2 linked regions of the Oryctolagus cuniculus genome follow. The protein of the gene in region 1 interacts with the protein of each later gene in a pairwise test. Links are inferred from orthologs where the notes say so. Each region holds a gene or a part of one and is shown in the gene's direction. Other genes may lie near its edges.

Region 1 (5,846 bases):
AAAATGTTAAACATTGTGGCAGAGATCAGTAATTGCTTTTTAACCCTCAAATGGTTGACTGCTCAACACAAAGATTCCATTCCTAAACTTTTTTTAAAAAAAGATTTATTTATTTATTTATTTATTTGAAAGTCAGAGTTACACAGAGAGAGGAGAGGCAGAGAGAGAGAGAGAGGTCTTCCATCCGATGGTTCACTCCCCAATTGGCCTCAACAACTGGAGCTGTGCGATCAGAAGCCAGGAACCAGGAGCTTCTTCTGGGTCTCCCATGCAGGTGCAGGGGCCCAAGGATGTGGGGCATCTTCTGCTTTCCCAGGCCATAGCAGAGAGCTGGATCAGAAGTGGAGCAGCCAGGTCTCAAACTAGTGCTTCAGGCCAGCGCGTTAATCCGCTGCGTCACAGCGCTGGCCCCCTAAAGTTTTTTTTCTAATAGCCACGTGTTTTCAACAAATTACTCTAAAACATAGAGGCTTAAAATAACCTTTTAATTTTGCTCATGTATTCTGTGGATTGGACTTCAGATGGCAGCTAGCACAGGGCTGGCAGGAGTTTTGTCCTGTTTTGTTCATCAAAAGCATGCAGAAACCCATTCACATTCCTGGGGAGGGGAAGCAAGACTTCAACTCCTGATGGAGGAACGGCAAGGAGAGCACATTGGGCTGTGCAGAGGAATCTGGCCCAGAGGACAGATGAGGAGTTGGTTATGTTTAACTTCCCGGATTGTCTTACGGGGTCAGTGTCTGGGGAGGGGAGAGACGGTTGCCTTCTCTTTCCTACTTTTTTCATAGCTGAAATGTGGCTGACACGATTTGCAGGGCGGCAGGCATCCTGGAGCACAAACTGAGGATGAGTGAGCAAAGAGCTGGCTGGAGCCTGGGCCCTGGTGATCACAGAGAAACGACATTTGATCGTGTTTAAGCTACTACATTTTCTGCCACATGCAAGTAATGCAAATTATAATCAACACAAACATCATTATAAATGCAGACAGACACAAATCCATCTTAGATTACTGGACCTGTAAAAATAATAATGCTTATGCCGCCGAGTCTGACTAATATTGTGTTCCAAGAAGTGGCACACGGGGATTGCAGTATTTTATTTGTTAAAATGCCTGATGCCTATAGCTAAAAGTTACTTATTACACTTAAAAACATTAGTATGAAATTGATAAGAAATGGAAATGGAAAAATACATTCACTCATGGAGTAAATAGAAGGCGGATCATAAACAAAAGTGTATTTTTATAAAAGGGATTAGTTTGTTTCGTCTCTCATCTATGGCCTTTTGAGTTTCCTGGGAAATGTATTTATTGTTTTGTGTTGGGGGGGGGAGGAGAATAAAAAAGTGAATAAAACAGAAAAGAAAAAAGTGATTTTGCTTGAATTATTTTTACAATATGGTCATCGCAGAAAATGAACAGTGGGCATTGAAATAATATTTCATGGACAAAAGACCAATCCTCTTTCCTCTGAACTGTAGACGTTAGATCTTTCCGAGTCCAGGAGCTGTACTTTAAAATTACACACCTGTAGCCCTATTTCTCTTTATACTGAAATACTGAAGGTCTTGGAGACCTAATGGCAAACCAAAGCAACAGGGAAAGTTCTAAAATAACCACGAACCGACTAATCCAGCACCGCTTTTTTCCTCCCGCTCGAGGACTACCTGTCTGGACTACGGCATTTTATCCAAGTTGCTGCACTCTCCGGGTCGCAGGCCATCAACTTTGCCAAGTGTCTCGGGAAACGCACGGCGCGCTCCGCGGGACCGCCCCGGCAAAGGATGAACGGACGCGTGAGAGAACAAGAAGGATGCCCCCCAAACCGGGGAGCCTCTCTCCGTCCAGTCTCCCACCGGACACGACGACCCAACTGGATGCCAGGAGGGAGGAAAAACGCCTGCCGTGGGCGGAGGCCGAGGTATCCGAGTACTCGCCGGCCCCCAGGGAAGCCCCGCACGGCGGCTCCACCAGCGGAGCGAGACGCGGCCTCGCAGGGGCCCACGCCCCGGGCGCGTGCGGGCGCCGCGCTCCCAGCCAGCCAGCGCGCCGGCGCCCGCCGGCGTCCTCAGCCCCGCGGCGGTGGGAGCGGCGGGAGCTCGGCGCCCGCCCGCCCTCCAGCCCGCGCAGTTGCCATGGTTTCCGGGGATCACGTGGGCGCGCGCGGCGGCGGCAGCGGCGGCGGCGGGGCGAAGGCGAGGGCGGGGCGCCGGGCGGGGGAGAGGCGCGGCCGCTGCGGGAGCGGGAGGAGCCCGAGATGCTGCCAGCCCTCCCGGGGCCGCGCTCGCTCAGCAGCCGCCGCCACACGGAGCAGCCGCGCGCCGGGCCAGCCGGGCCGCCGGGGCCCAGTGCGCCGCGCTCGCAGCCGCCCGCGCCGTCGGCGCTCAGCTTTGGTGGCCGCGGGGTCCGAGGCCGGACCGGAGAAGGGGGCGAGGGCGGCGCCAGGGCGCCCGCCGCCCCGGAGGCAGGATGAGCATCGAGATCCCGGCGGGACTGACGGAGCTGCTGCAGGGCTTCACGGTGGAGGTGCTGCGGCACCAGCCCGCCGACCTGCTGGAGTTCGCGCTGCAGCACTTCACGCGCCTGCAGCAGGAGAACGAGCGCAAGGGCGCCGCGCGCTTCGGCCATGAGGGCAGGACCTGGGGGGACGCGGGCGCCGCCGCCGGGGGCGGCACCCCCAGCAAGGGGGTCAACTTCGCCGAGGAGCCCGCGCACTCCGACTCCGAGAACGGGGAGGAGGAGGAGGAGGAGGAAGAGGAGGCCGCGGACGCAGGGGCGTTCAACGGTGAGGAGCGACCCTCCGCGCACGCTGCCCGCGCCGCTGCCGGCTTTGCGCGTGAAGCCGCAGCCCGGCTCCCCCGCGTGTCCCCGCCTCCCCTACCTTCCCGTCGCGCCCACCCCCTCAGCATCCATTTCTGTCTTCTCCCACTCGCCCACCTTCCTCCTCTGCTCTCTGGTCGTGCCCTCCCCCTCGCCCTCCTCCGTCTGGAGGAGGGAGCTGGCGGCGCGCGGCTTCCCGGGCCGGGGTCCGAGGTGTTGGGCTGGGCGGGTGCCGCGGTGCGTGAAGGAAGCTGGCCCTCTCGGGGTCCTCCTGGGGGTGTCAGGGAGGAGAGGCGGACGCCGTCGTCAGCGTTTCCCGTGAGGAGCAAGCAATTTGGCACTCGCTGAGGGTAGATCCACATTTATGGTTCTCGCGCCGGCATTCCTGGAAACGGAGTAATTTATTATTTTCTAGTTGACACACAACAAAGGAATCTCTTTAGCTTGCAATCCACAGGGTCTTCCGAAGACCGGCTTTTTAAAAATTTATTTATTTTTTAAGTATAAACCACATATTGAATGATTCAGTGCTTAAAATAATAATAAAATAACGCGTGTGGAAACCACCCTGGGAAGTTCAGAAGGCTTGTCGGTTTCTTTAGGATGAAAAGCCAGGGAGTGTTTGTAAGGACCGTGCCAGGCAGCAAAGCTGGAAAGAATGAATGGGGAAGAAAGAGGGATTTTCTCAAATAGCTGCTCCTGGCAAGTCCCACCCCTTCTGCTTACAACGCTCTCTCCCTGACACGCAGATACACTCGCATCGACACACATCTCCCTTCTTTATGGCATCCTAAGCTGACACACCTCGGTGTGCAAATGTACCGTCCTCTTTGTGGTGTGAGGCAAACGTGCGTGCAGCATTGCACCAGCTCTTATTTATGTGCGCTGCTTGTGGTTTGTGTGTCGGCAGCGGGTTTCGTCTGGGTGGAAGAAAAAAACATTTTAAAGTGTCCTTTCATTTCCTTGTGTTGGAATGGGTTGTAAAGTCATGCATTTGAGCCTGTGCAAAGCAGCCCCTCAAACCCCTGGAAATTAGTGCTTTGTGGAGATAAAAGGAAACATTGGCACTTAAGGTTTTGATTTTCTACTTTTTAGCGTTTTCCAGGATAGGATAATCATTGTCTTAATTGTTCTTTTTGCATAAGAATTAAATGCTTTTCTTGCTAGAAAGGAGAGCAGGATGAAAGAATGCATGTTTTAAATAGATGAGAAGCCAGTAATGGATGACATAGAAAGGGCAGAGGCATCAGATACTTCTTTTATGCTCCCAGTGCAGGCGTGCACACACGCATACACACGCATACACACGCATGTCCACATGAACGTGCACACACAGGAAGGAAAAAAGGGCTCGTTTCCCAGATTAGAAGAAACGAAGGGACTTGGTAAAGAATCTATATCATATATTGCGAACATAACTAGTATATTTTGTTTGTGTGCTTTTAAAGTATTTGCATTGATGCTTCCTTGTTTTCTCCTTACATTACTATATAGTGTTACTATATAGTAATGTTTTCTCCTTACATTACTGTATAGTGTGCACAGCACATACGTAGTTTTCATTTTGCAATAAAGAAATAAGCCATGAACTTCTAAACTGCAGGGACCGTTTTATGTAGTTTTATTTTCTCCCGGGCACCTTTACTGTAAAAATTGCTTAATATGGGTTTTAATAAATACCTGTTAAGCCATTGTACCATTTATCTCCCAGACTTTTCCCCAAGGAACTTAAAACTTTTTGACTGCAAGCAACTACAACTTGATCGTTACCCAGTAGAATTGCAAAAAATTATGGAAAAGTAGAACCCAAAGTATGAGTTTATTTTGTGCAAGAAAATTTTTTTTCTTAAGTTGTAAATGCCTATTATAAAAAAACTGCACATGGATTTCAATTTTTTTTCCGAGGTAATCTCATACTTTTAATTTTTCTGTGAGCTTTTAAAAAATATTTGAGGGCCAGCATTGTGGCACTGTGGGTAAAGCCACTGCCTGTGACATCGGCATCCCATACAGGCGCTGGTTGGAATCCCAGCTGCTCATTTGTGATCCAGCTCCGTGCTAATGGCTTGGGAAGAGCAGCAGAAGATGGCCCAAGTGCTTGGGATCTTGCCATTCTTGTAGGAGACCTGGAAGAAACTCCTGGCTCCCACCTTTGGCTTGGCTGAGCCCTGGCCATTGCGGCCATCTAGGGAGTGAACCAGCAGATGGAAGATCTGTCGCACCCTTCTTGTCTGTAACTCTGACTTCAAATAAATAAGTAAGATCTTTAATAAAAATTTAAAAAGGGTTTTATCTTTTAAAAGATTTACTTATTTATTTGAAAGGCAGAGTGACAGAGACAGAGGTATTCCATCCACTGGTTCTCTCCTTGAATGCGCTGGCGGAAGCCAGGAGCCAGACATCCCAGCCAGAACTCTGGGGTGAGTGGCAGGGACTGGAGGACCCAAGCTCTCATCTGCTGCCTGCCAGGTGCATTAACAGGAAGCTGGCTCAGGGGCCAAGCAGAACCAGGAATCCACTACAGGATGCAGTGTCCTGAGTGGCAGCCTTAACCCCCTGTACCACAACTCGCGCACTCCACGAGCTTTCCGCAGTACCCTCACCCATATCTGTGCAGCTCAGGATCTGGCAGCAGCACTTTCTTCTGTTAGGTTCAGTGCTTTGGGATATTTTCTGGTCTAATCAAGTTTCTCTCTCTCTCTCTCTTTTGTTGTTGTTTTTCCTTTTAAAATAATTTGTGTTGAGATGAGACCCAAGGTTTCAAAACAAGTGTAGTCTCAACAAAGTAGTCAGTAGTCTGTTTCGTAAGAGGCCGAATAATAAATGGTAGACTTTGTGAACATCATATGGTTTGAGTCATATTTTTCTTTTTCTTTTTTTTAATTTTTAACATAAAAATTGGGATTGGACAAAACTGGCTGCAAGCTAAGGTGGCCTTTGGAGCTGAGACCTGGTCAGAGGGGGAAAAAAAAGTTGAGGTAGTGCCTGGGAGGGCATTGTGGGGGGAATCGTATCAGGAGTGAGC
Region 2 (6,093 bases), on another chromosome or scaffold:
GAAATACTTAACTCAAATTACTAACAGTTTAGTGTTTATTTTGCCAGACTGTTTCTGTGTACACATACATTGTGTACATAACCATTTTCTTAAAAGATTTATGTATTTATTTGAAAGTTACACAGAACGAGAGGCAGAGAGAGAGAGAGAGAGAGAGAGATGTCTTCCATCCACTGGTTCACTCCCCAGTTGACCGCAATGGTCGGAGCTGCACCGATCTGAAGCCAGGAGCCAGGAGCTTCTTGCAGGTCTCCCACGCAGGTGCAGGGGCCCAAGGACCTGGGCCATCTTCTACTGCTTTCCCAGGCCATAGCAGAGAGCTGGATAGGAAGTAGAGCAGCCGGGACTTGAACTGGTACCCATATGGGATGCCAGCACTGCAGGCCAGGGTGTTAACCCACTGCTCCACAGCGCCGGCTCCTGTAGTGTTATCTCTTAAAAAAATATCATGAGCCTGGCACTGTGGCATAGTAGGCTAAGCCTCCACCTGCGGTGCCAATATCCCATACGGCTCCAGTTCTTGTCCTGGCTGCTCTTCGTCTGATCCAGTCCCTGCTGTGGCCTGGGAGAGCAGTGAATGATGCTTCAAGTACTTGGGCCCCTGCATCCATGTGGGAGACCCAGAAGCAGCTCCTAGATCCTGGCTTCCAATCAGCCCAGCTCTGGCTGTTGCAGCCATCTGGGGAGTGAACCAGTGGATGGAAGACCTTTCTCCCTGTCTGAACCTCTGTCTGTAACTCTACCTCTCAAATAAATAAATCAAATCTAAACAAACAAAAACAGTTTCATTCCTGTTAATCCTTCCAGTGCCTTCCTATTGCATAATGGATAAAAGTCCAGCCTTCGCCATTACTTACAGGGTCTGGTCTGAAACAAGACTGTTCACTCTCCACTGCATTCTCTTCCCACCAGCTGTTCAGCCTCAGTCACCTTAGCCATCTTGGTCCTGGAAGGAGCTTTTTTCTCACTAAGGGCTTTGGCTCAGAGTACTCCGTGGCCCAGCTAGATGTCTGGCTTTTTCCTGTATTCTCTCCTCTTATCTTTTGCTCTGTTTCACCCTGGATTGTAAACTCACAAGGATATTGTCTTTCTTACCCACCAGTACATACAGCAAAAGTCGTGGCACACAGATTCAACAAACTTAAGATTTCATTTGAAAAGCAGAGTTAGAGAAGGAGAGAGAGGGATCTTTCATCCGCTGCTTCACCCCCACATGGCTGCAGCAGCGGGGCTGGGCCAGGCCAAAGCCAGGAGCCTGGAACTCCATCTGGCATTTGGCTCTCCCATGCGGGTGCAGGGCCCCAAGGAGAGCAGCATCTTTTGCTGCTTTCTCAGGCACACTAGTAGGGATCTGGATTATTAGTGGAGCAGCTGGGACTAGAACCAGCGCCACGGGCGGCTTAACCTGTTGAGCCACGTCAGCCTCATTTGCTGAATGAACATACATTCAAACTGGGCCTTGAAAAGATGTACAGTTCAACAACAAAAACTGATATGCCAGACCCTAAAAAGAATGAATGTAGCAGACAGGGAAACAACGCGAGGCAGACAGCCGAAAGCCTAATGTGACGAAGCTCTTACTGTAAACCCAGCGGCAGTGTAGTGGGATGAGGGTGGGAGACAGGAAGACAAAGAGGGCAGGTTGCTGCACCGGTCTTGGCAGCCCTTCCTGCCACAGCCCTGTGTGTGTGTATGCACGCGCACGCACGCGTCTTACTCTGAACCCACGGATGCCGGAACCAGGTCTTGCTTACAAACTTACAACTAGCAAAAATACAGCAGTTCTCATAAAGTATTTGGCAGAGGAAAGAACTGAAGGCATCCAAGCTTGAGGGAGTTCTGAGTTCAAGTTAAGGCTCTGACCTTATCAGCCAGACCCCGGCTTAATCTCTCACGGGCTCCCTCTAGATAATTAAATGACATATGGGAGGTAGGGGCTTAGCACTGTTTGCTAGCGGAAAATAAGCGCTTCACTGCAAATTCACAGGCAGAACCGGTCTGTCGTCTCCAGGTTACTGTGTTGCCAACTCCTCGGCAAGAGTCCAAAAAAATACACACAGCATGCTGCAGTCCCAGGTGACACCCCCGTCCTGATGCCACGACAAAGGCATTAACCAAAAATGGCGACCTCACAGCCATCCAAGGGCATCAGTTATCGATGATGCTACCGGGTGATACAAACAGTGTCTGGAAGCAACACCTAGGGCAGGGTTCGAAACGCCAGGGCAGAAGACACAGCGTTCGCCCACGCTGCCAGACAACCGCACGCGGGAAAAACGGCGGCCACCGAAGCTGAGCTCCAGCCCTGCACCGCGACCGCATGTCGGAGGACGGTGTGCGCCTGCGCAAGCCAGGCGCGCGCCCGCCGGCCGGAAGAGCCGCGCGTTTCCGGGTTGGAGGCGGGGAGCGGTGCCGGAAGTACTCGGGGAGGGCCGCGCAGTCGGACCGGCTGCTGAGACGAACGCTTCACTGGGGCAGTCTCCGCATATCATGGGGAGATAGACGCTGCTGCCTGTGAGTGTTGGGCCCTGGCAGTAGAGGAAGAAGAGCGGGAGGAGGGAGTCAGGACCCAGACCCACAGTGGGTCACTGTTTGAAGGACCAGGCTGTGGAGGAGACGGGGCTGTGAGGAATCCGGCTCCTGGGACGGGACTAAGGGGATCGCGCTCGGAGGAGACGCGGCTGTGAGGGTCCGGGCTGCCGACGGGACTTAGGAGACGGGGACGGATGCGAGTTCCCTGGCACCTAAGGGAGAGAGGTTTGAGAGGGACAGGGTTGTGAGGACCCGCGCTCCTGAGAGGAGAAAGGGTCGGAACGGAGTGGCGCGTGAAGACACGGGCTCCGGCGAGGTGAAAGTGGAGTAGTGAGGACTCGGGCTCCTAGGAGGCAGGAGCGGGACCGTGAAGACCCGGGGTGGGCTGCGAAGACTTAGCTTCCTGAGGGGCCGAAGCTGGCGGAGAAGACTTGGGGCTTCTGTGGGCACGCGATCCGGGCTTTGAGACTCCAAGTTTCGGAAGGAACGGGGCTGTGAGGATCCGAGTTCCTTAAAAGCGGAGAATCGAAGCGGCTGTGGGTGTAAGCGATCAGCCTTCAAGGGAAAGAGAGAGGACTGGGGAAAGAGAGTGATCCGTTTGCAAGTAGTCTCTGACCCAGAGTGCTAAAGGATACAGGGATGGATATATGTATTCTGTATACATTTCTATTTTCAGGGGAGGAGGAGTCCTCCTTCGCGCTGCCTGCTTGGCTTTTGGCAGGCTTGTGTGTGTCAGATACTTAATCTTGGAAGCCCACATAGAAGCATCTTCATTTTCTGCTTCATTCTTGCGAATCGGATGTGAAGTTGAAAACACTTTGAACCCAGTTGTATACTTGATAAGTGCTTTAAATTTCTTTCCACTAAACCCTGACGGAGCACAGAGCTCTGTATCTCAAATAAAAGAATATCAGAGATGGAAGAGCCCCAAAAGACCATCTCTTTCCAACGCCTAGTTTACATTTAAGGGACCCGAAGTCCAAAGAGGGATTAGAGTCACAGTGAGACAGTGGTTACTTAGAGCATAATTTTGATCAAGTATCCTGTGGACGGTAAATAGGAGACGCTTGGTTAATGTTCCTTGGAAAGTGCTTCTAGAATCTTTGTTCTCTCTTCAGACTCAGGAGGAAGATTCTGATAGATTCTAATGCTTTATTTTGAGTCTTAGTGTGTTGACATTGAAACAGTGAATGTCACCAGTAAGAAAACTTTTAAATGAAACCTAATGTTATTTATTTATTTTAAAATAAGCTATCTAGAAAATTGTGCCCTACATTTATAGCAAAAATATTTACTAGGAATGGCTGTGTTTGTTTATTTTAAAGATTTATTTATTTGAAAGAGTTACAGAAAGGGAGAGAGAGAGAGAGAGAGATCTTCCATCTACTGGTTCACTCCCCAAATGGCCATAACTGCCAAGGCCGGACCCGGCAGAAGCCAGGAGCCCAGAGCTCCCTCTGGATTTCCCAAATGAGTGGCAGAGGCCCAAGCACTTTGGCCATCTTCTCCTGTTTTCCTAGGCGCATTAGCAGGGAGCTGGATTGGCAGTGGAGCAGCTGGGACTTGAACCAGCATTCATAATGGATGTTGGCTTTGCAGGTGACAAGTTAACCCACTGCACCACAAGGGATGGCTGTTTTTAAATAAGGATGGTGTGGAGACTTGACCAGTTACTTCTCCTTTTTAATAATAGTATTTTTTTTTCTTTTACTGAAACCTACTCAGACTAACCAGGTACCATTTAAGCACTTTTCACCTACTGTGTCACTTAATTATTACAGCCCCACAAATTAGATATTGTTAGTCCCATTGTACAGATAAAGAACTAGGTTCAGAGAGGTTAAGCATTTTGCCTGAAATTGAATAGGACTGAATGAGCCAGCCCCAATTCTGTGTGTCTCTACAGCTTCTACTTTTCTAAATGGATTCTTCATGTCTTGATTTGCCCATCAACAAAACAGAAGTAATAGTGATACAAGCATATTATTGAATGAAAGCACTTTCCTTAAAAAAAAAAAAAAAAACTTATTCATTTATAAGCCAGAGTGACAGAAAGAGATCTTCCGTCTGCTAGTTCACTCCCCAAATAGCTGCAGTGGCCAGTGCTGGGCCAGGCAGAAGCCAGGAGCCAGTAACTCCATCCCAGTCTCCCATATGGGAGACAGAGGCCTATCTTCCTCTGTTTGTCAGGTGCATTAGCAGGGAGCTGGATCAGAAATGGATAGACCAGAGCTCAAACTTGCACTCTGCTATGGGATTTCTGCATTGTAAGTGTGACTTAACTCATTATGCCACAAACTCCAACACCTTCCTTCTAAATTTTGTTAATATCAAGGACTATATTGTGCTCGCTCTGGCAGCACATATACTAAAATTGGAATGATAGAGATTAGCATGGCCCCTGTGCAAGGATGACACACAAATTCATGAAGCATTCCATATTTTTAAAAATATTAACATAAAAAAAGGACTATAACTGATTTGGGTACATATGTAGTATAATATTCAAGGAGAACTAAAATGTGTTTTCACAGAAGCATAGATATTCAAGATAGAAAAAACTTATTCCTGAGTTAACATTCTCATCTGCATATTTAAAATGTTCTCTTTCACTTCATTTGTGGTCCAGCATTGGTTTATTTTTTTATTTTTTTTAACTTTTATTTAATGAATATAAATTTCCAAAGTACAGCTTATGGATTACAATGGCTCCCCCCCACCACAGCATTGGTTTATTATACTAGGATTTCAGAGTACCTGATCAGATAATCATTGTGTTAGAATTAGAACAAATGAGGCCGGCGCCGTGGCTCACTAGGCTAATCCTCCACCTAGCGGCACCGGCACACCGGGTTCTAGTCTCGGTCGGGGCACCGGATTCTGTCCCGGTTGCCCCCCTTCCAGGCCAGCTCTCTGCTGTGGCCAGGGAGTGCAGTGGAGGATGGCCCAAGTGCTTGGGCCCTGCACCCCATGGGAGACCAGGAGAAGTACCTGGCTCCTGCCTTCAGATCAGTGCGGTGCGCCGGCAGCAGCGGCCATTGGAGGGTGAACCAACGGCAAAAGGAAGACCTTTCTCTCTGTCTCTCTCTCTGACTGTCCACTCTGCCTGTAAAAAAAAAAAAAAAAAAAAAAAAAAAAAAAAAAAGAACAAATGAACATAGGACATGTTACTTTAGTCAGAGGTCTTCATGGAAAGCCCTGATGTACTTTGGAGGCAGTACAGCAGGAGTGCTGAAAATCTGCACTGTGAAACAGATGTGTCAGACAGACGTTGAAATCTGTATGTATCAATGTAATTTAGAATCTTACCGATTGCTAGAGCCAGAAGGGATTTTAGAATTTGCTTGTTCCAGTTCTTAATTATATATGTAGAAACTCTGGCCAAAGATGATATCCAGCCCTCTGGATTTGGGTCTTCTACATTATCTCTCTCAGCCTTCTACTGACACCCCTCCCCCTTTTTTTCCCCCTCAATCCACTGTTCTCTCTCTCTCTTTTTTTTTTTTTTTTCCCTTAAAGATATTTATTTACTTATTTGAAAGAGTTACAGAGAGAGAAGGG

Evidence for each region.
Region 2: the proteins of PRKAR2B (region 1) and TAF12 interact in binary tests that used the Homo sapiens proteins (3 or more experiments, as listed by UniProt). The two-hybrid records come from large-scale screens. The link is inferred for Oryctolagus cuniculus from reciprocal best matches to the Homo sapiens genes PRKAR2B and TAF12.

Annotation. Positions count from the first base shown.
Region 1 is NC_091434.1:137,198,255-137,204,100, reverse strand, and holds the start of PRKAR2B (cAMP-dependent protein kinase type II-beta regulatory subunit), read left to right. Parts: upstream 1-2,307; 5' UTR 2,308-2,470; coding exon 2,471-2,786; intron 2,787-2,938; exon of another isoform or gene 2,939-3,160; intron 3,161-5,846. UniProt on the Homo sapiens protein: Regulatory subunit of the cAMP-dependent protein kinases involved in cAMP signaling in cells. Type II regulatory chains mediate membrane association by binding to anchoring proteins, including the MAP2 kinase.
Region 2 is NC_091438.1:143,056,227-143,062,319, forward strand, and holds the start of TAF12 (transcription initiation factor TFIID subunit 12), read left to right. Parts: upstream 1-2,367; 5' UTR 2,368-2,514; intron 2,515-4,876; exon of another isoform or gene 4,877-4,978; intron 4,979-6,093. UniProt on the Homo sapiens protein: The TFIID basal transcription factor complex plays a major role in the initiation of RNA polymerase II (Pol II)-dependent transcription.